2 linked regions of the Oreochromis niloticus genome follow. The protein of the gene in region 1 interacts with the protein of each later gene in a biochemical or structural test. Links are inferred from orthologs where the notes say so. Each region holds a gene or a part of one and is shown on either strand. Other genes may lie near its edges. The genes, in order: wbp11 and pqbp1.

Region 1 (12,321 bases):
GACCTTTCAGCCCAATTCTACTTTTTCTGCATAATCCATCATATAAAACTGAATCAAATAAAAAAGTCTGTGTTCAAAACTTGTTTTATTCATTTTAATCTTTTAACTTTGTGCACATTGCATCAAGCAAAAATTAAATTACATGCAACAGTCTTTGAATTGAAGAAATTTGTTTAACAATTAAACCTATTTTCTGCATATTCCAGAATATAAAATAAAATAATTTTTTGTGTGTTTACACTCTTTCAAATAGATGCAAGTAAAACACAGCAGAAAACAAATAAAATCAAAGACTCAACGGCACTGAGTCCTGTCGTTCTTAAATCTATTGTCACCTGTTTAGCAGGAGTGGAGCAGGCGGAGGTGTCAGTGGGGGGATCCGGGGGTTTCTCTGTGAATTTCACATTCCTGTGGCAGCGTGCTGGGTACTTGCTCAGAAGTTTGGGGAGGGGGGGAGTTCTTCCCACACAATGTACAGCGGACGCTAATGTTTTTGTCACTTTTTATGGAATTAAGTAAGGTCAGTACTTCCACGCTTTAGGTTATGTGGCATTATCTGCCACATAACCTGATCTTTGCTGATTGACTGGGAGAAATTCACCTGGTTCTACGAAATCACAGTGAGTCATAACGAGGACAATGTTGATGTTCGTTTAGGTTACCAAAACTGTCTCCTTGCACAATGAAGGGATTATTAGACTGAGAGGTAAACTGCTTCTAGCTCAGTCATGTGGAATAGTTTCCACAGAACCCATTTAACATCAGCACTAGTAGTGATATAATGATCAACACAGAGCATGAATTACAAATAAATACTTGTTGGTTTAAGAAAAAATACATGAACCCCTTTAAGAAGTTTAATAGATGTACAGCCACAAAGACCAGAACACCTAGCGGTTCAAAAGTAAAATTACCACATTGTGGGGATGCTTGGGGCTTCCCATGCTTTAATTAGAATGTAATTATCTGTCAGCAAGGAAATACAGGTTCTTATCAGGGCGAATTTCCTGAAAGTGGGTGAAGAGGTGGAGCATGAGGAAATGAAGATCTTGGTACAGGTTCTGACTGCTTACTTGAAATATGAAAAATAGGGCACTGGCTTTAGCAGATGATGTGCTGCTTTAACTGTTTAAAGTTTATCCCCTCCCCTCTCAGTATCTTGGATATATTTGGCATTCTTTTAATTATTATTATTATTTATGTATAGCAGATATGAGGAGTAATATTAATTGCTCCGTGAGGCTGACTGACTTATGTGACAATCCTGTGAGAGAAGATGTGTTTTTCTGCCCTTCTGCCAGCAGCCAGAGGGCCTGTTGGTCTGCGAGCCAACAATGGTTAACATGTCATAGTTTCAGGTTTCTGCAGTGTATTTGTTCTGTTTGCTCATTGTTACATTGGCTGTGTTTCTGGTTTTTCCAGCCCGTAATGTTCGTCTTCATGTGTTAGATTTTCATGTTTTTGTCATTTCCTGTTTTAGTCTGTAGGTTAGGTTTTTTTCTGTCTTTTTCAAGCCTTTTTCTTGCTTTTGTTCCCCTCCTTTGTGATTGAATGCCCCATCCTCATTACTCTCACCTGCGTTTCATCATATAATTAGGCCCACCAATTTAATGCAGTTTCCTTGTAGTATAAGTTTGACATCCCTGGTTTAGATCCAGCTTATACTTTGGATGGGAGGAGTCATTTATGTTGTTGTGAGCCTTCTTCGAGCTGCTATTCCAGGGTATGTTGGGAGTGGAGGAGAGCTGGGCATACGAGATCCCCACATCTTCTCTCGTAGTGGATAGTCTTGTCTTTCCCCTTTGTCAAGTTGTTAACCTATCCTCCTTTTTCTTGTGCTCAGGTGTTGGATTCCTGTTCTGTTTATTTCCTTGTGCACAGCTTAGTTTACTCTTTGGGACTTTTTCCTATTTTTGCATTACGCCAGTAAAGATGCATATTTGTTATTTACCTTCCTTATGTGCCCTGCACTTGGGTCTTCTTACCAGGTTTGAAGGTGTGCCATTGAACAAACAGAGTATCTTCTGTTCTTTCATTGATGGATGAACGGTTTCTTTGACAGACATTTGTGTGGGTAATCACACTTACCGAAATCCACGTTGCACAGTCCATGTATAATGGCATTCGTTTTTTTGTTTTTGTTTTTTTTAAAACCACTTTGTTAAGCAACATGAACTCTGGCTATAATTTAGGTTAAGTATTTGTTAGCAGTGCAATGATTTGAATTGTGGCCTCTCAGCAACAAAAATTAAATTAAATTAAAAAATCCCTTGTTCAGACCCCCTGATGAGCTGGGGTTTGCGTTCTCATTTTCTTTCCTCCCACAATCTGAAATAAACTCAGATGAGCTCCAGATAAGGGCTCAAGAAAAAAAAGTTCTTTTACTGATGCAACAAGAAAACATATACTGTATTCCATAAACGCTGTAGAGTGTGAATGTATGTCAATGTTATGTAAAAAAAAAAAAACACACTAGAAAAAGGTATGAATGTGTGTGTGAATGGGTGAATGAGGCATGTTGTATAAAGTGCTCTGAGTGTGCAAGTGGAGCAGAAAAATGCTGTATAAAAACCAGACCATTTACATTTATAACATAGAGGCATTTCAGAATTTAGTATTTAGTGTTGGTATTATTTAACTTTTGTTTTGTGGGTTTTTTTCTTGTTTTTTTCTTGCACCACCTAATTTGGTTGTGATACTGTGACAGTGACTCACTGACAATAAAGTCTCTTATGTATTATATAATTGTCCCTTTTAGTTTTATTTAAAATCTTCTCTCAGATGTAACTGTTTTCTGTTTTGAAGACCGCAACAAAACGAATGTCAAAAACTGACCACAGGGTGATATATCGAAAGAAATCGTCTTAAATCCATTTCTGAGGCTGGGACAGACAGTGCGTTGCATGTGGATTCATGAGCATGAGCGGTCAGAAATACCACCAAAGACTAAGGCACTGCAAACTGACAGAGCATAAGAGAGATTTTTATACAGACACCTTTTGGAAAGAAGTTATTTCTGCAACACATCGCTCTAGAGATTGACTTTGGAGCTGTACAAAGCATAGCTGTTTCCACGGTAAAATGCTGACACCTATTGGTCAAAGTAGGTAGTGCAGCGGGTTCAGTACAGTGAGTAGAAAGAGAGAATTTGCTACTCTCCGGGCCATTTATAAAATAAGCACAACTTATGAAGTCCAGTATTTTTAATTACAATGAGCTGATGTGATATGCTGTGGCAGCTAAACCACTTTTGCTCTGTTCTGACGTATTTTCATATGATCATTACGCACCACTTTGATGCAGTAATTATGTGGATGCCCAAATATTAAAAAAAAAAAAGCCGCCATAACTAAAGTTGAACTGGGGGAAAAACTCACTAAAAATAATTATTACAGGGATTTTTAACAGTAGGTACAAAAAAGCGTGATTTAAGCGAGCGTGGTTGCTATGCGTCCCCAGGTTCTATTTGCATTGCATCTTTTGATATAGTTCAGACACATTTCACTCGACGTGTTGTGCAAAGCTACAAGGGATTTCTGCAAATTTCTGCAAATTTCTGCAAAAGTAAGACACCTTTCTGCTCAAGACTTCTTGCAGCCTTACAAGAGTTCAACTCCCACCGTCACGAAGGAAAGCGACCCAGCATCCATCATCCGTCATGGACAAGGTGAGATTTTATGACCGTTTTCAATATAGTTTGGAAGTTTTGAAAGAGTTCACTTTGCCAACAGGGCAACGTGAAAATATAGAAGACATATATGTGAATAAAAGGCATTAAAAACTCCCAATTTAGGCCTACACACGTGGGAGTTATGCTTGCATGTTAGACTGTTGCACTCTAGCTGTAAACAGGGTAAACTGTGCATCATTTAAACTTGCATGTTACCTATAATGTTTTCTTTTGCGTGTATTAAATGATCTTGTGGCAGACATGTCACCAAAGTTTGCAGCTGAGATAAAAAATGTTCAGTTTTTGCTAATAAGTAGAGTATCCTACATCTGTGATTAACTGAAATGCATAATGATCACCAGGGGGGGTGCATGTTGCTGTTTGGGGGGATAAAAAAAGTAAACACTGAGACTTTATTCACTGTAGAAAAGCTAATCCCTAAAATGTTTATTTACAAATTAGCAAGCAATGATGTTCAGCATCATCTGAATTCTCAAAATCATTTAAACCACACATGACCGAGCTTAGCCAGTTACAAAGGTATTTTGTGCATCTGCATTGTTCAAAAACGGCAATAAGCAGCAATGATTATAACAGAAATTAGAGTTTAATACAACATGGACTTTGGTGTTTGTTAACTTATGTAAATTATTATTTGAAATGTCATTTGGGGGTATGCAGCAGTGAAGCTCTAACATGATGAGCCCATAAGTTGACAGTCTTTTATTACACTGACCTTGATGCATTGTCCTGGTTTTAGTTCTTATGATTTTCTGTGAACATGTTGGATATTTTTTGTCGTTACACTCACTGTGGACAAGTTATTCAACCATGCAAGTGGTTTAAGTAGTTTTTGGACATATTAAAGGGTTTGTTTGTTTTTAAATGTTTCATGAACTACTAACTGATGTTTGCATTACTGTCATTTTTGTGTATACCTGCAGCTTACTGTGCCCGTTCACCTCAAAGACCATAATTATCGGATGAAAAACACTGCATGCCGGGCCCGTGATGCAAAGAAACCCAGAGCCTGCAGCAAACAACCATGCTGCAGCAAGGACCAGGTTGGATGTGTAAAATTTCATTAACAGAACCATTTAAGGATTTTGGAGTTTGGACTTCCATGTCGTTCATCAAATTTAAATTTTTGTCTTGTTTGAAAAAAATGAGGTCATTAATAACTACTGACATTCCCTTGTGTGCTTCTGACCTTTCTCCAGGTTATTAATTCAACCCTGAGGCCCCGGCGCTCTGATAGAATAGCCAGTCAGCCCCAGAAAAGGAAGCGAAGCCCAGCATCCAGTTCTTCCCGACCTTTGGTTAAACCTCGAAAGAACTCGGTGCCTCCCTCTGCTATCTCACATGACGACCTGCCAGTGGCAAAAAAAATGCCCCCCAGACCCGAGCCATGCAGTACCGACCACCAGCCAACCAGCTCCGGTGACAGCCCTTTAAAAATCCACAATCTCTCAGTGGAAGATTATCAGCGACTCTACCATGAGGTGGTAGATAGCATGCTGACGTACGTTTGTCTCCAAATCTCCTGTCACTTTTTAAAATCGCCAGCTCTAAAATGGTTACAGTAGGTTTTTGACCACATGCATCATTTTGATTGAATTTCTTTTTGCAGGTACAAGAATGGCCGCCCTCGTCCCTACAGTTTAGAGCTGGGGAGACGCATTAAGAAAAAGCTGTGGGAGAGACTGAATCGTCCTGTGGTGCAGACATCAACTAACGAGGATGGACTTGAACACATTGACATGGTGTATGGGCAAAAAGTCAAACTCCCAAACTATGATTTTGACATTTCGAGTTAGCCACATCCTCAACATCCACCGAGCAAAAGAGGAAAGGAAAACTGAATGTAGAGCAGCAGGAGCACTGCTACAAGACATACAATCAAAAACTGTGAAACACACAAATCAACTGTAGATAAAATTACTGTAAATATATGACAAATGTTTTTGTAAATAGTTCAGATGTGACTTTAATGATTAAAATGTAATTTCTGCACAAGTTTGTGTGTCTGTATATTATATTCCACTGTGTGTTTGGACAACTGTTTAAGGTCACTCTCTGAGAACATGCACTGCACAGTACTACAAAAATGTGATGCTGGATGACATCTGCATTTCCATTCAATAATTGTCTCTTCAAACTATTTCATGACTGCCTGACTGATTTTAAAAACGCATCAACCATAATCAGGACACAGCCACAGATTTTTGGATCACATGATGAAAACTGTAAACCTCCATAGGACTTTTATTTTGAAAAATCACTATTTATATTATTATTTATCTGAATCAAAATGGCTAATTTGAAGTCCTTGTTGACCATAATATATATTCAGGCACTGTGAACAAAACATAACATCCAACTTTAATTCACTAGCACGTTTGTCTTTTTAAAGACAACACATTACTTAACTTCCTTGAATAAAGTGCAGAATGCTAGAGATTTATGTCATTCTGTTTGCAGACTGTCTTATACAAAAAGAAACTTCTTTTCATCAGATGTGACTTTTATGCAGCCTTCATTTATTCAGGTAAAAAGGTGTCACTGACATTAAAAATGTCGTTTTCAAACGAGGTCTGGCCTGGAGGGCTGCAGAAGTTATAAAAAATCACAGTCCTTTAAAGAACTGTGATGTTCTTCAAGTGGCCGAAAAGGACTGGATGGATGGATATAATGATTCATAGAGCTGCTTTCAAATTGGATTTATTTAACATATAACCCATTTTTTAAACTCTGTTTACTGCAGCCTATTTAACAATATAAGCAACTATATTAGACAAAAAAACAAACATAAAAAGATATCTAGACATAAAAAAAAACCACGCAAAAAGTGATTGGCATACGCAACCCAACACATACGACCACTTTTTGGCACACCAGTGCAGTGAGGTTGTAATTGCTACTTGTAACCATCGGGGGGCAGTATCGCTAGAGTGCAGTCTTGGATCCTGTAACAAGAATCACCCTTCGTTATCGTTAGAGCCACATTGCGCCATACAATATGAAAATAATAAAGTCCTAGTATATGTACAAATACTATAAAGTGAAGTTTTAAATAATACCGTTTGTCCAGTTAGTTTTATTTTTCTTTCACTGCTCGCTTGTTTTGATGACGTCAAAATCGCCTTTCCGCTTTCATTCGCGGCAGTAAACATGGCGGACGGTTAGCGAAGCCACGGTGTGATTTTCAATTCTGGGGGGTTTGGATTTCTCTTTAAGGGCGTACGCAAAACGCGTTGCATTGCTTTTGGCACACGGAGGTGTGCGTGTGTGTAGGGCGTTGTGCCCTGTGAGTTTTTACTGAATAAAAGGTACAGTGCATTTTTCCCTCCTGTGCTGCTTTCGTTGCTAACGCGGGCCTAGCTATAAGTGCAAGCTAACGTTAGCCGCTAACCTGCCAAGCAAATGCTTTTGACCGGCATGATTTAACATATATATATATATATATATATATGTCTGTGTGTTTGTGTTACAAAAGTGTGATTGGCTCTGTGGTGTTTTTCAGCTCATTCAATAGTTTAATTGTGCAAAAGCGTAACACATAGATGTTGGGGGAGCTTAGATTGAGTCGTGCGTTGATTGTCAACTTTCTTATCTTCTTTGCTAATAATAGCTAACAGTAAAGTTCTTTAAGGTGTGTATTGCAGACAGTTTGGTTAAATTGCCTTGATATCGAAGTTAGAATTAACAAAAAGGAGACTGCAGTTTGTCAAAAATGAATTCAAACATTGTTTTAAGTGTCATTGATTCATAAATATGAGCTAAAAGTGTTATTTTACGTTGTGACAAATTCCGACTTGTTTTTGAACGTACCATAAAATAACAACGTATGGTTTCCTTTACATTTATCTTCTCTTCTGTTTTGCTGTATTACATGGCAGCGTGAAGCAGACCCACCGTCACAATGGGGCGACGTTCAACCTCCTCCACCAAGAGTGGGAAGTTTATGAATCCCACCGACCAGGCCAGTAAGTGCTGATAACAAACTGGCGCTAATTCAATCATGAATTGATCTCCTGAATGCTCAGTTGCTGATTAGATATAAAAATGGTCATTTCTTTCTCCCCCCAACCCCCACTCCTACAGGAAAGGAGGCCAGAAAAAGGGAGTTAAAAAAGGTTAGAACCATTCACTTTTAAAAGAAGATAATTCTAAATATGCAGGATAATAATACTGTGATAATATGATGGTAACATCATTTTCTTTTGGAAATATTAGAACAAGAAGCAGAGGATGATGGTGAGAGCAGCAGTCCTGAAGATGAAGGATCCCAGACAGATCATCAGAGACATGGAGAAGCTGGATGAGATGGGTGAGATGACAGGGCTGAGTTTATGGAGTTTACATGTTAGAAATATATTTAGTTGTAGCTATTTAGTTGTATGTTTGCCACTAGTAGAGGACCTGAGCTTGTGGAACACGTGTATCAGTAGAGTTATACTATATATAATTCATGTGTGTATTTAAGGATTTCAGGCCTTTAGGTAACAGCAGAAAATCACAGTCAAAATCTGATTTCTACAATTCATTTGCTGCTTTTCTAATGAAAATAATTACTTTGTTTCTGAACAGAGTTCAACCCAGTTCAGCAGCCGTTGCTGAATGAGAAGGTGTTGCGGGACAAGAGGAAGAAGTTGCGTGAGACATTTGAGCGCATTGTTCGTCTGTACGAAAGAGAGAATCCCGAAACCTACAAAGAGCTACGCAAACTTGAACTGGACTATGAGACCAAAAGAGGGCAGCTGTCTCTTTATTTTGACTCAGTCAAGGTGTGTTGAATCTACATGACAGTTTGGGGGGGCGGGGTTCCTCAGTTTATAATAAATCTTGCATGAATTGATGCAGGGATGAGAGGTATATTGTATGCACATTTTCCTACAGGCTTGTGTACGCCTTGTTGGCCTGGAAAAAAATCTTAAAAGTCAGGATTATTAAAATTTTGGGGAGACACCAAAACCCATTACTCGTCTTTTATTTGTCTTGAGCTTGAGTGCTTCAGATGTGTGCTCCATTACCTTATTTATCCTTTGTTGTGCTCTCTGTTTACTCTGTTGTGTGACGTTTCCTCTTTTTCAGAATGCAGAGTTGGTGGAGGTTGACAGTATCCCTCTACCAGACATGCCTCATGCCCCATCCAGTATCCACATCCAGGACATCCCATTACCAGGGGCTCAGCCTCCCTCCATATTGAAGAAGAGCTCCACTTTTGGGTAAGACTCATTCTATGAGTAGTAAAAGTTTCAGCAGTTAAACTCCGTATGTGACATTTAGAATTTTAATGTGCAGTTGAGTTAATTCTGTTTTTATGCATGTCTTAGTAAAGGACCATCGTCCTCCGGACCAGCATTGGCAACAGTGCCAGGTGTCCCACGCTTACCTCCAGGGAAGAAGCCCCCTGGGCCTCCACCTGGCCCCCCACCTCCTCAGGTCCTGGCACTGTATGGACCTGCTCGACGCGGTTACGGCACAGATGCAGGTGAGATACAGCCAGTTTCCCTCTGATAATCAAATGATTTTTTTTCACCTATAATTTAACATTTCTTCTTGTTACACTATTTCTCCTTTGAACAGAGCCTTCCATTCCTGGATTTGAAAAGGACTCTGCAATGGATTTGGGGAGAGATCGGGACAGCGGGAGTGAGAGCGACAGAGATCAGGACGATATTGATGACGACAGCGACTCTGAAGACATCAGTGAAGAAGAGAGAGATGAAGGGGGAGATGGCGAACAGAGAATGCGCTTGGACAGGCAGGACGATGAGAGAGAACGAGAAGAAGATAGAGACAGAAGTGAAAGACATGGTGGTGAGTGTTTCTGACTGCTTCAACACATTTAAGCCTCAGCTCACGTCTTTGTTGCCTTTATTTATCTCTTGATCTTACAACTGTTTGTATTCTGTTGTATTTCTGAATTTGTTATTGTTTGACTACTGCAGGTCGTAGCGTACGTTTCGCAGATATGCCTGCAGAGGCACCCCGTGACGGAAAAAAGAAGAAGAAGAGGGTTGTGAAGAAGACCAAGGCCATTACACCTCTGCAAGCCATGATGTTAAGGATGGCAGGTACTGTCAATGCTAAGCACTTACTAAGCTTGTGCTCCTCTGTTTCTTTTCTTTGTATGGAGATATGCTATGGCATTTTTATTTATTTATTTTTTGTCTTCAGGTCAGTCAGTTCCTGAAGAAGAGGAAGAAGAAGAGGTAGAGGAAGAATACACAGATGAATCAGACAGCTCTGACATAGAGGACAGAGGCCCTCCAGGGGACAACCAGTCCCATCTCATGGCCAATCAGCGACTGCCCCCTCCAGCTGGGACCACGGGACAGCAAGGGCCTCCACACATGCAAGGGCCACCGATGACAGGACCTCCACCACTTGGTCCACCTCCGGCACCACCAATGAGGCCTCCTGGTCCACCATCTGGCCCACCTCCTGGCCCCCCACCAGGTTCGCATTCTGATTAGCTAAAAGATTGAATGCTTCAATTCTGAAGTGATACTAGAGTAATTTCCTGTGCCTGTTCTGTGGGCGTCTTCTACTTCTCTAAGTGTGAATGCTCTGCATCGTTTTTTTCAAAGAGATCTTCTGTTATCTTCAGGTGCTCCTCCGTTCTTGAGGCCTCCTGGCATGCCTGCAGGAATGAGGGCTCCAATGCCTCGGCTTCTGCCTCCTGGGCCTCCACCAGGTCGACCACCTGGTCCTCCACCAGGCCCCCCTCCTGGCCTTCCACCAGGCCCTCCACCACGTGGTCCACCTCCCAGATTACCACCCCCAGCACCACCAGGTAGGCACATGTGTGTGGAGGCAATCTAAAGATATAAAATAGTGAGAACTTCTGTTGAATGCATTTCTCACATATGTTTTTTCCTCCTTGTAGGTATCCCACCTCCTCCCCCAAGAGCTGGAGGGCCCCCGCGTCCTCTTGCACCACCTCTCTCTCTCTTCCCTCCACCTCTCAATTCGAATGTGCTGAGTGCTCCTCCAAACATTGTTCAGCGGCAAAAAGGCTCAGGATCCAGCCAGGACGGTTTACAGGCCAACCTGCAACCCCCTGCTATGCCCATGCGACCCGGTGTCATGCAGATGCCCCCTCCGCCTGGGACAGCTGCTGCCTCCACAGGCACCAATCCTGGCAGCAATCCCCCCAGCCATCACCACGCGCCCACCATCGAAAAACGCGCAAACATCACCTCTGTTGCAGCTGCAGGAGGCAACCTGGCGGCAGGTGCCGGTGCAGGCGGGGCCACCATCTCTGCCAAACCTCAAATTATCAATCCCAAGGCAGAGGTCACCCGCTTTGTGCCCACAGCGCTGAGGGTGCGTAGGGACAAGGTTGGAGCAATGCCAGGAGCAGCACCTGGGCCCATGGAGAAAGCAGGGGGTTCTGTTGGAGGAAGGAGGGGAGATGAAGGTGTGGGAGTAGGCCAGTGGCAGAAACAGCACACCGCAGCAGCTCCTATGGGCGTGGCCAATCCATCTCAGATGGGTGCTGTGTCTCAGCCCAACATGAAGACTAAAGACCAGGTGTATGAAGCCTTTATGAGGGAGATGGAGGGACTCCTCTAAGACTCGGGAGCGTACTGCCGATACTGATGATCAGTGTGGCGAGCTGAACAACAGCAGTGTGTTTGTTTTGTGTTTTCTGTGCAGAGTTATAGAGGTAGCCGTCTTCAAGCTTTCAGCTAGAATCAGTTTGTCTGTCACCTACCAGCGAAAGGCCACTACACCCTCAGCTTTGTTCTCTGCAGGCTCATTCATTTGATCTGGGTTAGATTTTTGTTGCATCAACAAGAATGTGCATTTCAAAAAGAATAAGAAATCTGTTTATTTTACTGGGTAACTTGCATAGTCAATTCAAGAGAAGAACACTATGCTCTGCACAGAAGTGCTTTTTCACATCCAGCATATTGTTTTGTTTTTTTGTTTTGTTTTTTAACTCTGAAATTGTGTTTTTCCTCCAACCACCTGTTTGCAACTTGAACTTAGAAGCAATCTCGATTACTTTTTTGTGTTTTTTTTATTGCAGGTCTCCTAACATCAAAATAAAGTTACAGAATGTTTTCCAACCACTGACAAAAGTAAAAGTGTAAAACTGTTTGATCTTCAGCCAAATAAAAACTCAAAAAAATGGTTTAATCTTGTTTCAGTGTGAATCGATCCGCGAAAGAAATTCCCATGTCGTATTTTTAGCCAATCCCTGGCGTTTTTGGTCGTAAACACAAACTTCCATCAGGCACTGCGGCTTAAGCCCGAACTCGTTTCCGCATCTGCGCAGTGCGGAACTGACGACACGTTGGGGCGAAAAGCATGGCGGACGAGGAGAGCGTGAAGCCAAACACAGACGAAACGCTCGAAGGTTCGAGCAGCGATGAGGGAAGCGATCACGGTGATGGCGGAGAAAACGACGAGACGGTGAAGAGCTTCAAGGATCTGGTAGGTTTGCTTCAGTGAGCGAAGGAAAGGAACGTTTCAGGCACATTAACACGGAGAAACCACTGCTGTTCGAGTTAGCTACAACTCCGCTGTGTTATGTAAACCTCATTTTATCCTTTTAAATATGAATGGAATATGTCTGTGAGAGGGTGTACGGCGCTAGTACACCATTATCATCGTGTTACAAAGATTTCTATCTT
Region 2 (11,759 bases), on another chromosome or scaffold:
AGGTGAAGCACTGGTAAAGACATAAATTCACTTTCCTTCCTTCCCTTCTATGTAAGGCTACAGACCTTCTCCTTTCTGCACTAAGTTGGGTTTCCCTTTGCAGGAGTCAGGATGCCTGATGTATACTCCTCCACACAGAGGTTACATAACGAGCTATACATTGTCTAGCATTCCTCTTGCATGCTTTGCCCCTGCTTAAATGTCTAAATAAATACTTTATCTGCAGACAAAGTCTAAATTGTGCACTTGTTGGATTTTTCATTTAATAGTAAGGTTTTAGACTTCTGCATGGCTATATCTCTTTAAAGGCTCTCACCAGTTGCTCTAGCCCACAAAAGTAACGTGTCCTCGGGGACCTATTTTCCTGGCCACTAAAGTAAAAACCTAGCAACTCAACAAGTGTCAGAGTGTGGGAACTGCTGTGAACCAGAGTGGCTGGTAACTGTGTCTGATGAGTAGGGTTATTTGGTTAGGTAACAGGGTAGGCATTTGGACAAAGGCAGTTAGCGCTGGGCATACCCGCCCACTGTGGGTTTAAACAAGTTTTTAGCAATTCCTACTGGGATAATAATAACCTTTAGGAGCAGAGACTTGGACCCTTTAGACAGCGAGTTGGTCCAGTCTCTTCGTCACTGGCTTTTACCTTAATGTTTCTACATTAGAGATGCCATCAAAACATCTGAATAACAAAAATATGCCAGTTTGTATCACATACAGAAGGTGTTTGGTAAGTTATTCACTATCAAGCTGTTTTATTCATATCCATGTGTCCAAAAACATATCTTTGACCCACACTATCATCTGTGATCTGGCATATGATGTAAATTTTTGGTAGCTTTGTCAAATAATTTTATATTTGTTCACTGAATACTTACTAGTTTGTGGTTGGTTGGGTTGGAATCATCATCTGGAAACGGCTTGGTGACACCCATGGCCACACAGTTGGCAAAAATGGCAAGAAGAATGAAAATGTCAAAGGGCTTGCAGACTCTAGTTAAGGCAAGAGCGGGCCTTGTGAACGTATCTCTCCAGGAAAATATATGAACCAAATGATTATTAATAAATGTGCATCATATGCAGGATTAAACATACACAAACCAAAACACACCACATGTGCAGAGAAAAACACTGCAACCCTCTCAGAGAAAAGGATATTTCCACTCCACCAGGGCCAGCGCTGCCATCCGGATGGGGTTGCTAAGGGTGAGGCAGCAAAGAGCTCGGGGGGCCCTGAGGGCAGACTTGTTTGCCTGCATCGCCTTCTTGGCGCCCCCTCCTCTTTTTCTGACCGAGCCAGTTGACCCGAGGGTGTCTGATTTGCCTGCATCGCCCCCAGGGAGGGCATCTGAAAATAAATAAGTCAATATATACATAAAGATTAAAAAGGCAGGGTGAAAATGTGCATTTTCACACACAGTGAATGTTAACTGTGTTGGGCATGGGTTGGGTTGTTTTACTGTAAGTAAGGATATATACATGCAAGATAACAGTTTCTTTTGTTTGGGGGCGTAGATTCAGTGTAAAAAAAATGCAAGTTAAAGAATGTTTTGCCCAGTTCCAGTGTGCATTTGCAGTCCTGTTTCAAGTCATGTTACTCTAGCATTGTTTATGCGAGCTCAGATTTTATTATCTAACACAATTAGGAAAGGATTTGACATGTGGCTGTGGCAACAGGGAGGTATTCTGTCCTGGAGGCCTCATATTATAAGACCAGATGTGACCTACTTCTTTAGTGGGAGCAGTGTGGCACTTAGCCCAGCCCTATCCCCAAGTAGACCCACGAACACCTGTTGACAAGGCACTGCACAGAGAATAAGCCTGAGGGTACTTTTATCATCCCATCCGTGAACAAACTAAACGAGTAGCCAAGACATAAACTGTCTGCCCCAGTAAGAAAACTTTGAATATGAGACCAGCTGTGCATTTTCTGGTTATTATAAAAGCCCCTTTTTTAATTTTACTATTTAGGTTTTGTTACTTTTCAGAAAAGCGTCATGACAAAAATGTTTCTGCTCATCTTGCGTTTGTCTGTTTCCACTCAGAATAGCTTTACAGTGCAATAAAACATAGCAAATGTTACGCGTGGCTTTGCAGTGAAGGCACACTAAGCACATTCCTGTACGGCTGACAGACCATACCTTTCTTCGCCGGGTCCATTTTCGCAGGTTTCGCAGGTTAACGCCACGAAATCACTGAAGAAAACCACCATCAACTCCTCACAAAATCTGTGATGCGTAATGGATCACAGATTTGAATTTGGCCCCCAAAGAGAGAAGGAAAAAAAATAAGGACCATCTGTAGCCTGTCATTTCATATCCACATGCAGAAAGCCGGTGCAGCTGAGAGGCTGCGGGCCATTCTGTTCACCGCCTGTTTGTAGCCCATAAATCCAATTAAAGCCGCTTTCTGGTCATTTCTTGCGGTGAGTAAATGAAGACTGCAATTAAGTTTATCTATGCGGGCACACAACGGTGAGGAATATTAAAGCAAACGCGTGCATATATTCGCGGCGGCCAGCCGTCAGGATTAAAGTAGTTGAGCCGTTTAAAAGGATGACAAGGGAAATCTTTCAAGGGGAAGGTGGAGGTGGAGGTGGAGAAACTCTCCGGCTCTGTGGGAGTTTGCTGCGATGTTTTAGTTTTGAGAGAGAATAATATTAAGAAAATAGTCCATCAAGATGAAGAAAACAGCTGCAAGTTGAGACCCCAATATTCAGGACCTTGGAGAGAAGCAGCCACTGTATGCAGTACCGGAAGGCCGGCGACGGGGGGCGCCAGTCAGCAGTAAATCACAAGACTGCAAAAATATTCATCATATTATACATTACCTGAAAAAGAAGTCACAACCATGAAAACAAAAATCGATCACATTTTTAAAGATTATCTGAAGCTTTATTATTTGTAGGAACATTGTTCACAGTACGTTTATTACGATAAATATTTGCTGACAGTTTGTAACCAGATCGATTTGATAGAATTTTTTTGTGGATGGTGCTAATTTCAGGAAATAAGAGACTTTCAGGTTTTTAAAAAGTGCTTTGTTGCTTTATGCGGCAATTAAAGTGACAAATGGTGCACAGACAACAGACTAGACAAACACTTATAATCAACAAAAACTAAAAAAAAAAAAAAGTTTTGCTGAGTTTCTACAAAAATAAACTCAAATGTCCTCTTTAACACCTCACAGGTAAATAAATATTAATGTTAATATTCGAATAAATATCTTTCTAATGCAAAACTTTAAAGATGTGCAGTTTTCTTATTTTAACTTTCTGCCTTTCAGTCATTAAAATACATAATCAACCCAAGTATAAGATCTTTGGAAGCATAAAGCAGTTTTTGGATAAAACTAATTTGGTTCCTTGAGCAGTGTCTCCAAGAATACAAATGGGCTGAAAATTATTTATTTTAATAGATACATGTTGCTATAATGACTAAATTAACTTACTATGTGGTTTTGAGAACTACACATTGAAGAAAATAATAATAAATATTGAAAACATTGATTTTTCAGGTGGTGCAAACATGAGGAAATTATTAACATTTACTCATAAATAACTGAAACAGTAATTTGTCCCTGAGGTATGTATTAGCATCCAGTAGGGACCAGTATCTCCACCTCTTGGTCATCCTGGTAGATGCTGTTCATGTGCTGGCATTCCTATTATCCTTTCAGTTGTCCACAGCTGGCTTCAGTCCTGAACCTTCTCTACTGAAACTGCCCCCTTTGCCCCTGATGTTGATGATCTCCATCCTTTGGCGGTAACTGACTAGGGTCGTCTGCAAAGGGAATTGCTGGAGAAATCAAGGAAGAAGACACAACAAAGTCAGTTTTTCATGCTTCACTGGCATGTAATCAAGATATAATCTATGTTTCCCTCAGGAACATTTATATGAATATTACTACTGTCTAGGTCTGCTGTGCTTTCAGGCTTTTTGGTTTGGTAGCCTTCCCTCGGCTCATCTCATCCAAAATAAGATATGTCTCAGCAGGTTATCTAACTTGAGCCGTGCTGGAGGAAACCTGATGCTCATACATTTGACTGGTTATTCACAGTAACACTAAAAAAACTATTTTAATAGTCTCACATTCTTCAGCATTTTTTATAAGTTGTTATATCATTAACATTGTGAGAAATTGTGTTCTTGGGAAAAATTAATCAAACAGGAAACACAAATTAAACTGCACAAGAACCTTGAGAGAGTGGACGATTTTCCTCAGGTTCTTTAAAACATTTTGATAGAAACAAAAAATGCTACGAGTGTGGTGAGGGTGAGTAAAAATGGGACCAGTGAGATGAAAAATGTTGCCCTATGCCGAAGTCCAGCCATAACTGAGGAGTGGACGCCAGTACAGGGGTATAAAACCACTCACACATTTAATCATGTGACATTTTGCTAAACTACTGATAAACCATTGGTTCTGTGCAGTTTAAATATCATTTCTGAAACATAATTAACTTCACTCACGGTTCTGAAACTGCTGCGCTGTGTATCTGGTTAGGAGAATCCCAAAACCCTCAATGAGAGCGAGCAAAATCCCCCCCATCATTGCAGAGCCCATCATTGTTAGAGGTCCACCTGAAGAAAAATGCAATATTCAGCGAGTCACACTAATTATCCCAATGTAGAAACCCAATTGTAAAAAAAATTGGAATTTTGTTTACATTTTACACAGCGTGCCAACTTTTTCAGAATTGGGGCTGTATTTACTGACACAGAGAGACACAGTGGTGTCTTGTTTCTTTTGAGCTAATGAGCTCCTTACTGCGTGCTGCTAGGATGGCTCCAGTCAGCGCACCACTGGTTATAGAGTTCCAAGGATCCTCTTTCCCTCTCAGACGAACCAAACCACAGTCGATTGTGGAAAAGAGCCCTCCCCATACAGCAAAGCTACCTGCAACATAAGAAGTAACCAGACTTCAGCTACTTGTATGAAGCTAACTGTACCTAAACAATTTAATCTACACAAAAAATGGTATATTACTAACTAACTGCCATGTGTAACAAAAAACAGGAACTCCTTACCTCCAATCTGTGGAGCTCTAACTCTCACTGCTTTTGCACTCCCTTTCAGCCGGTGTCCGACACCCTGAAATATTAGAGCTCAGTTGAATTCTGCCTTTAACAACCTGACAAGCCAGAGAACAAACAAAAACCTGTGTTTTGAACTCACAGCAGGGGCATTTCGAAAGCCCTTGACCGCCTGGAACACCCCTCCTCCAATTGCACCCATTGTGAAAGCACCTCCACAGTCATCCACTATCCTCCAGGGGCTGGGTTAAGAGAGAAATGGATATTTATGTGACAGGAAAACTGACAATGGGGATATATCTGACAACTAACATCCAGTACATATACAAAATGCAGAAGTTATCTATCGGGGTCTGGATGACGCCGAAGACAATATGGGCACAGTTCTGGCCGAGAAATGTATATTACCCAAGGATGAAGAACTAGCTCCTTAAATATAACTAAATACTCACCTCTGAGTTATGTTTGTGTTAGAAAACATATCAAACATCATAAATGAATATGTCAAACAGCAGTGAAAGAACTAATGAGGTGGGGAGAAGGGAAGTGACAATTTAGTATTCTCCTGCCATAGCCCAGGTTTGATATGTTGTCCATTCAGAGATGCTATACTGCACACTTCAGTTGTAAGGAGTGGTTATTTGAGTTACTGCTGCCTTCAGTTCAAAGCAGTCTGACCACTCTCATCTGATCTCTGACATCAACAAGGCTTTTTCAACCATATAACTGTTGCTCACTGGATATTTTCTCTTTTTCACGCTGTTCTCTATAAAACCCTAGAAATTATTTTGTGGGGAAAAGGCTGTAGTTAAACATTTTCGAAAATATTGAAAAGATCGGCCATTCTGGCAAAAACAATCATGTGATGTTCAAAATCAATAAAAATCAAATGTTTGAACTTCTCCAGCCTGAACTTCAGCAATGCGTCATGACCATGTCCATATGTCTAAATGCACTAAGTTGTTGCCAAGTGACAGAATGTAGGTTTACATTAATAAGTAGGTGGACGGGTATGCCTAATGAAGTGGCTGATATCTGGATTCTTTATCCCGTTCCTTTGAACTCTGTCATTAAAGTTTGACTTGTAGGGGATCAACCTTGACTGGAGGTGTGTCTTAACTTGATAAATAAATAAATAAAGCTTCATGTACTGCCTGTTTGGAACCATATTTTGAGATTAAAATACCCACTATTTTTAATTTCTATCCTAACTCCAGCTGTCACTTAAAAACAGCGACATTTTCAGATAAAGGTGACTCTACCAGCTTATTGTGTGTGCAGAGGGCGCCTCCATATAACAGCTTTATCTTTTTTATATGCCTTAAATAAGCAGGCCGCAACACCCACAGAGCCTTTCTGCTCACTCTCACATCAAAACTGAGTATGAAATTAAAAAGTCAACACTTGACTCCAACTTAATTAGTTCTAAAATAAAAACAAACGCTTAAATTCTAATCTTACCAGGGCTCTCGGGCATACTCCTCCATGTCTGTTTACGTCGTCGTCTTCGTCAAGAGGACGTGATTACGTCATCATTAAGCGCGCCGTGTATGCTGTTTTGGAAAGAGGTATCGTTAGCTTGACGATAAAAAAGGGCCACCTTTTTTTTAAAAAAAGGTAAGAATTTAATTATTTCTTATTGTTCAGTCTTTTGAAGTAAAGGTTAACATTTGTGTTTGTGTGGTGTGGATGCTTTTTGGAGACGCATAGTTTGGTTTATTGCGTTATTCTTACATCTGCAGCCACGGATGCACCGCAAGCGTGTTAGTTTCTTGTTAAAGGAAACATTTCGTATTGTACATGGTACAAATTATTACAAAGAAAACATATATATATATATATGTATGTGTATATATGTAAATACATATATGGACATACATATAAGACAAGGAGCTAGTAAAGTTTTACCTGGAATTCACGTAGGATGGCCATATAACCTAAGAAACTGATTTATTTATTAGGATTGTGAAGTTACTTTAAGTTTTATGAGCAGAGGATTACTTTAAATGATGACAGGACACATAACAGTTCAGGAGTTTAGTCATTCTAAGACCTACCAGGATGCATGCTTTAAACTACAATTCATGGATATCATTGTGATATCGACATCAAAACAGCCAGCTGTAATGTATTGCAGGAAATGATGGTCTACAGACGTGACAAGTCTGCTGCAAAAATGTGGTTCTGGGCAGTGTTAAAGCTGCTGTTGATAGAATTATTACAGTAAAGGCATAATCTCCGCTTATCAGAAAACAAGAAATGTCCTCAGAGAAAATGGACAAAACAAAATAATGATAATAATAAGAAGAAGATGAAGAATAAAAAACAGGTAAATATGGGAACTGTTTCAAAACCAAGTGTTCAGTAAAGTGTGAGATGAATAGTGGACCAAAAATATTAAACTTAATGATGATTAAAAAAAAACAAAATTAACAGACTTGCAATTTTGTGTCTAATATATAAAATAACCCATTAAAGTAATGAAACTGTTACAAAATGTGCTTATATTAAAGATCACTAAACTATATAATGGTGGTAATCATGTGCATTTTACTTTATGGCCACATGTGACTCAGTGGTTTGTGTGTAAGTGATGAGTTTCTATATGTCCTAATTAATCAAAGGGTACATATTATTGAAAGTAAATGATATGTATTATATTATCTGATTTATGACCAATCTAAGACTATTTTAATACTGTGTAATAATGTGTTATGAGCATTTGTTCTGCAACTGTTATTTTGGTACCCCAAGTGAATTTCAGCCGTAATATGAACAGTGTTTCACATGGACTCCGTCTTTCAGGATGCCTTTACCTCCAGCACTGCTGGCCCGATTGGCCAAGAGAGGGATTGTTAAACCAACAGAGCAAGGTAGTATAACAGATTTCATATTTGGGTCTCTGTCCTTCATGGATTTCTCCTAATGTTTTGTGCTGTTTAAAAACCTTTTCCCCTTCAATTAATCCAGGGGCAGATGAGGAGATTATTGCTGAAGATTATGATGACAACAATGTAGATTATGAAGCCACCAGAGTGGAGAATCTACCACCAAACTGGTACAAAGTGTTTGACTCTGCTTGGTATGTACACTTAATATACTATAATTTAATATAATAAGAATTTTATACTTTAATTCAAAATGATTATTATAAACTTCACAATCAGAATGCGCTAATTACTTTTTCTTTCTTGTTTCTCATTTTATTCTTGAGAAGTCAAATTCTCCTTGAACATTATAACTACTGTCATGGAGAGCTAAAGTGTATTTTTAAACTGTTAAGTAAGTTTTATTTAATTTTGTGGTTACAATATTAATCACTAATGTTTTATTTTCCTTACACAGTGGTCTACCTTATTACTGGAATGTCGAGACAGATATGGTTGCCTGGTTATCCCCAAATGACCCAACTGCAGTAATAACAAAACCTGCCAAGAAAATAAGAGGTATGCTTTTATTCAGCCTCTATAATGTAATGTTTTCAAGAGGCACTAATGATCACAATTTCAGTCCTCTTACAGTAGACGTGTGTTACTTTGCATGTACAATCTCAGAATACAGTTTGCTTTTGACAGATTTCAGCCATGGCTAATCTTGTGATCCTTGCCTTAACTTGTGTTTTTAGTAGAAGGAGGAGATGAAAAAGGCGAGAAGCAAGTTGAGAAACCAGACAGAGACAGGGACAGAGAACGACACAGAGACCGGGATCGGGAAAGGGATCGAGATCGGGAAAGGGACAGGGAAAGGGACCGGGACAGAGACAGAGAGCGTGATGATGGGAGGGACAGAGACAGAAGAAAGCAGAGAAGAGATGAGGCAGCACCATACAGTCGAAGCAAAAAAGGTAATGTTTACATCTGATTCATTACATGTTTACACATCGGCGCCTTTCACATGATTAAATATTGAACACCTAATATTTTTTACAGGTAGAAAAGATGACGAGATGGACCCCATGGATCCAAGTGCTTACTCTGATGCTCCAAGGTACAGTACAGATGGTCACCTTGATATAAGCTATATACGGGTCGTTCTCTGGTACTCCGATTTTGCCAGAATCATTGTGTTGCACTTGTTGAAAAAATAGTTATGAGAGACAGATCAAATCAATTCCCATCATACATTTTTATCTTAGACGAAAGAACTAAACCCTCACACAGCACAGCTACAGTGTTCGAGTGTGTCCCCTCAAAATTCAAAATGGTAATCAGCAAAGTTGATATCCCTGGTTTACGGAGCTCACATAAATCTACATTTCATGCAAGGCACAATACCTCAACAAGAGGCAGATTTTATTGCAGTAGCATAATGTTCATAGTGAACTGGATTAGGTTTCCTCCCATTTTCATAAAAGATGCTCTGCTAAAGAGGAAAATATATACAGGATTGTAGCACATTTCCTTAATATTTGACCAAATTTGACCAGCTTTTATCACAACTCACTTATTCCCTTAAGCATAAAATAAAGACTTGTAGAAAGGCCTCATATCCTTATGAGCTCTCAGCCCTCAGAGTGGGAACGTGTGAACACTGGGAAGGGGCCATACACTTTATTTTTTTAAAGAGCATTTTGGCTTGGCATGTCAGAGAAAGCACAGGTATAAAAACAACTTAAAGAATGGCTCCATACTACTTCAGCACGCTAGTTCCATACCCCTTGTATGTGCAGTCAGTCTTATTGTTGCTGTAAATGCAACATACTGTAGCCATCATTAACTAAATTTACCCCATTTGCAGTTTTCCTGCCACCATGAGCCAAATTCTCTGCTGTGAAAATGTCTATTAAAAAAATCTACACCTCCAGGGTTTCTGTTAAAAATATTCCTAAAACAAAGCTGAGATTGTCATTGCAATTTGATCAAGGTTGTTTTCTCAGGCTTGACAAAACCCCTTCTCAGCCACAGAAGACATTGTAGTGCTGATTACAAATGCAGTTAAAACACAAACGTATTCATTTTTGCAGGGGGTCGTGGTCAAGTGGGCTGCCCAAACGCAATGAAGCAAAAACGGGTGCAGACACCACAGCAGCGGGGCCTCTCTTCCAGCAGCGTCCGTACCCGAGTCCAGGAGCTGTTCTTCGGGCTAACGCAGCAAACCAACTACCCAAGGAGTAAAAGCAGATACCATGAAGACAGCATCTTAAAACCCACAACTCTACAGTTGGTCTTCATTATGCTCACATGCTAAACATCATAGTTTGACAGGCTTTTGTTTCATTGTGAAATGTGTACATGTCAGAAATGAAAGGCTGAACTTTTTGGACAGCTACTCTATTCATACTCCTGCCGTGTAGAGCATTTGTAAATATGTTTTTATATGACCCAAAGGTTCACTTCTCATTGTTACTAGACCTATCAGTGAACATGATAATAAACTTAAGACTACTGTGAAAATGATCTGTTGCAGCTTTTTCTCAATTGTTGCATTGCCATATGTACAAGGAAAAAAAAATCTTGACAAGTTTTTATTACAAAATTGAAATCTTTTAAAGTCCATAATACTTGAATAATGAAAAAAAATAAAACAGCTGGGATGAAGTGGATGGAAAAAGGACAGTGAATATTACAGTAAACATCCGAAATCAGTGGTCTGCTGCTGCCCCAACATAGTGACAAATGGAGTCATAGTCTAATGTGAACACTTTATCCTCGTATCTGTCGAGCTGGACCATCGCTCTGCACTTGTTCTTGTCCCGCTGAAGAATACGGCCAACCTGAATCAGGTGGGAAAATAGTGATCAGTAACAGCTAATCAGATTTAAACAAATACATATATATATGTAAAGCAGTGAGGTTACTTTGCTCACCTTTCCCTTGTGCTCACCCAGTACCACCATTACAGAATCATGTTCACTTTTTGGGACAATAGTTTCCAGCATGTCCTGCTTCACATCTGCCACAAGAAAAGAAAAAAGAAACGCTGGGTCATTCATTGAAGAAATTCTACAGTAATACCAACTAGGCAGCACTCAGGAATAGAGCCAGCAGATTCTGACATTTATGTTTGCTAATAACCAAAAAGGAAAAAGAATCAAATTAATCCCCAATCTGGGAAGTCTGGTTGTCAGATTTAAGTCAGCAGACCGACCTCTCAGGACAACAACCAATGCTTCCACTATAGCCAGCAGATATCTGTGGTAAGAAGTCCTGTTATTATTTTTGCAACAAATACATTTTAAAGAACAAATAAAATGTAAAAATATTATTCCAACTCAAGGTTATATTTTGGCAATAACAATAATCAGTAATCCCTCGCCTTGCTCTTCAACAGGACCATTTACCTGTAAGTAATCTGCAAACAGATTCTTGTCCTGCGCCTAAAGATTCTGAGCACTTTTATGATGACATGATTTTAAAGTGACTGATTTGACATGATAGCATTGTGTAAAGTTAGCTGTTGGAAAGCACAACTGCAGCCAGAACAATATGAAGTTAATTTCAAACGAAACACAGAAACAAAACTTATCATGACAGAAAAGATCTGAGTATAATCCTAACAGATTAAAACTGTACATATCTCTCAAATTAACTAACTGTAAACAGTATAGAAGACTGGTTATTCTGCAGATTCAGTAGTGCCAAAAAGAATAGTTCAACCATTTTTTTTTTTTAAAAATCCATATTTGCTTTGTGTTGTTGAAAGTTAGCTGCGAGGACCTATACACCTTTATATTTAAATATGCAAATGTGCAGATCTGGGAGATTTAACCTGAGAGAAAAGAAAATG

Evidence for each region.
Region 2: the proteins of wbp11 (region 1) and pqbp1 form a complex in vitro, tested with the Homo sapiens proteins (2 studies listed by BioGRID and IntAct, with this or other methods). The link is inferred for Oreochromis niloticus from reciprocal best matches to the Homo sapiens genes WBP11 and PQBP1.

Annotation. Positions count from the first base shown.
Region 1 is NC_031969.2:9,049,585-9,061,905, reverse strand, and holds wbp11 (WW domain-binding protein 11), read left to right. Parts: upstream 1-6,810; 5' UTR 6,811-6,999; intron 7,000-7,569; 5' UTR 7,570-7,592; coding exon 7,593-7,656; intron 7,657-7,774; coding exon 7,775-7,806; intron 7,807-7,906; coding exon 7,907-8,000; intron 8,001-8,260; coding exon 8,261-8,457; intron 8,458-8,764; coding exon 8,765-8,898; intron 8,899-9,006; coding exon 9,007-9,164; intron 9,165-9,259; coding exon 9,260-9,493; intron 9,494-9,624; coding exon 9,625-9,750; intron 9,751-9,853; coding exon 9,854-10,135; intron 10,136-10,286; coding exon 10,287-10,472; intron 10,473-10,565; coding exon 10,566-11,254; 3' UTR 11,255-11,824; downstream 11,825-12,321. Other genes in the region: uncharacterized protein C22orf31, read left to right, coding at 3,659-3,667, 4,615-4,734, 4,891-5,192, 5,301-5,487; putative ATP-dependent RNA helicase DDX47, read left to right, coding at 11,996-12,121. UniProt on the Homo sapiens protein: Activates pre-mRNA splicing. May inhibit PP1 phosphatase activity.
Region 2 is NC_031984.2:10,671,848-10,683,606, forward strand, and holds pqbp1 (polyglutamine-binding protein 1), read left to right. Parts: upstream 1-6,520; 5' UTR 6,521-6,650; intron 6,651-7,838; 5' UTR 7,839-7,839; coding exon 7,840-7,906; intron 7,907-8,003; coding exon 8,004-8,115; intron 8,116-8,378; coding exon 8,379-8,479; intron 8,480-8,658; coding exon 8,659-8,877; intron 8,878-8,962; coding exon 8,963-9,020; intron 9,021-9,996; coding exon 9,997-10,147; 3' UTR 10,148-10,426; downstream 10,427-11,759. Other genes in the region: cacna1fa (voltage-dependent L-type calcium channel subunit alpha-1D), read right to left, coding at 876-932; voltage-dependent L-type calcium channel subunit alpha-1D, read right to left, coding at 1,140-1,345, 2,139-2,157; timm17b (mitochondrial import inner membrane translocase subunit Tim17-B), read right to left, coding at 3,709-3,794, 4,470-4,580, 4,768-4,896, 5,028-5,091, 5,176-5,275, 6,495-6,520; gpkow (G-patch domain and KOW motifs-containing protein), read right to left, coding at 10,615-10,746, 10,840-10,925. UniProt on the Homo sapiens protein: Intrinsically disordered protein that acts as a scaffold, and which is involved in different processes, such as pre-mRNA splicing, transcription regulation, innate immunity and neuron development.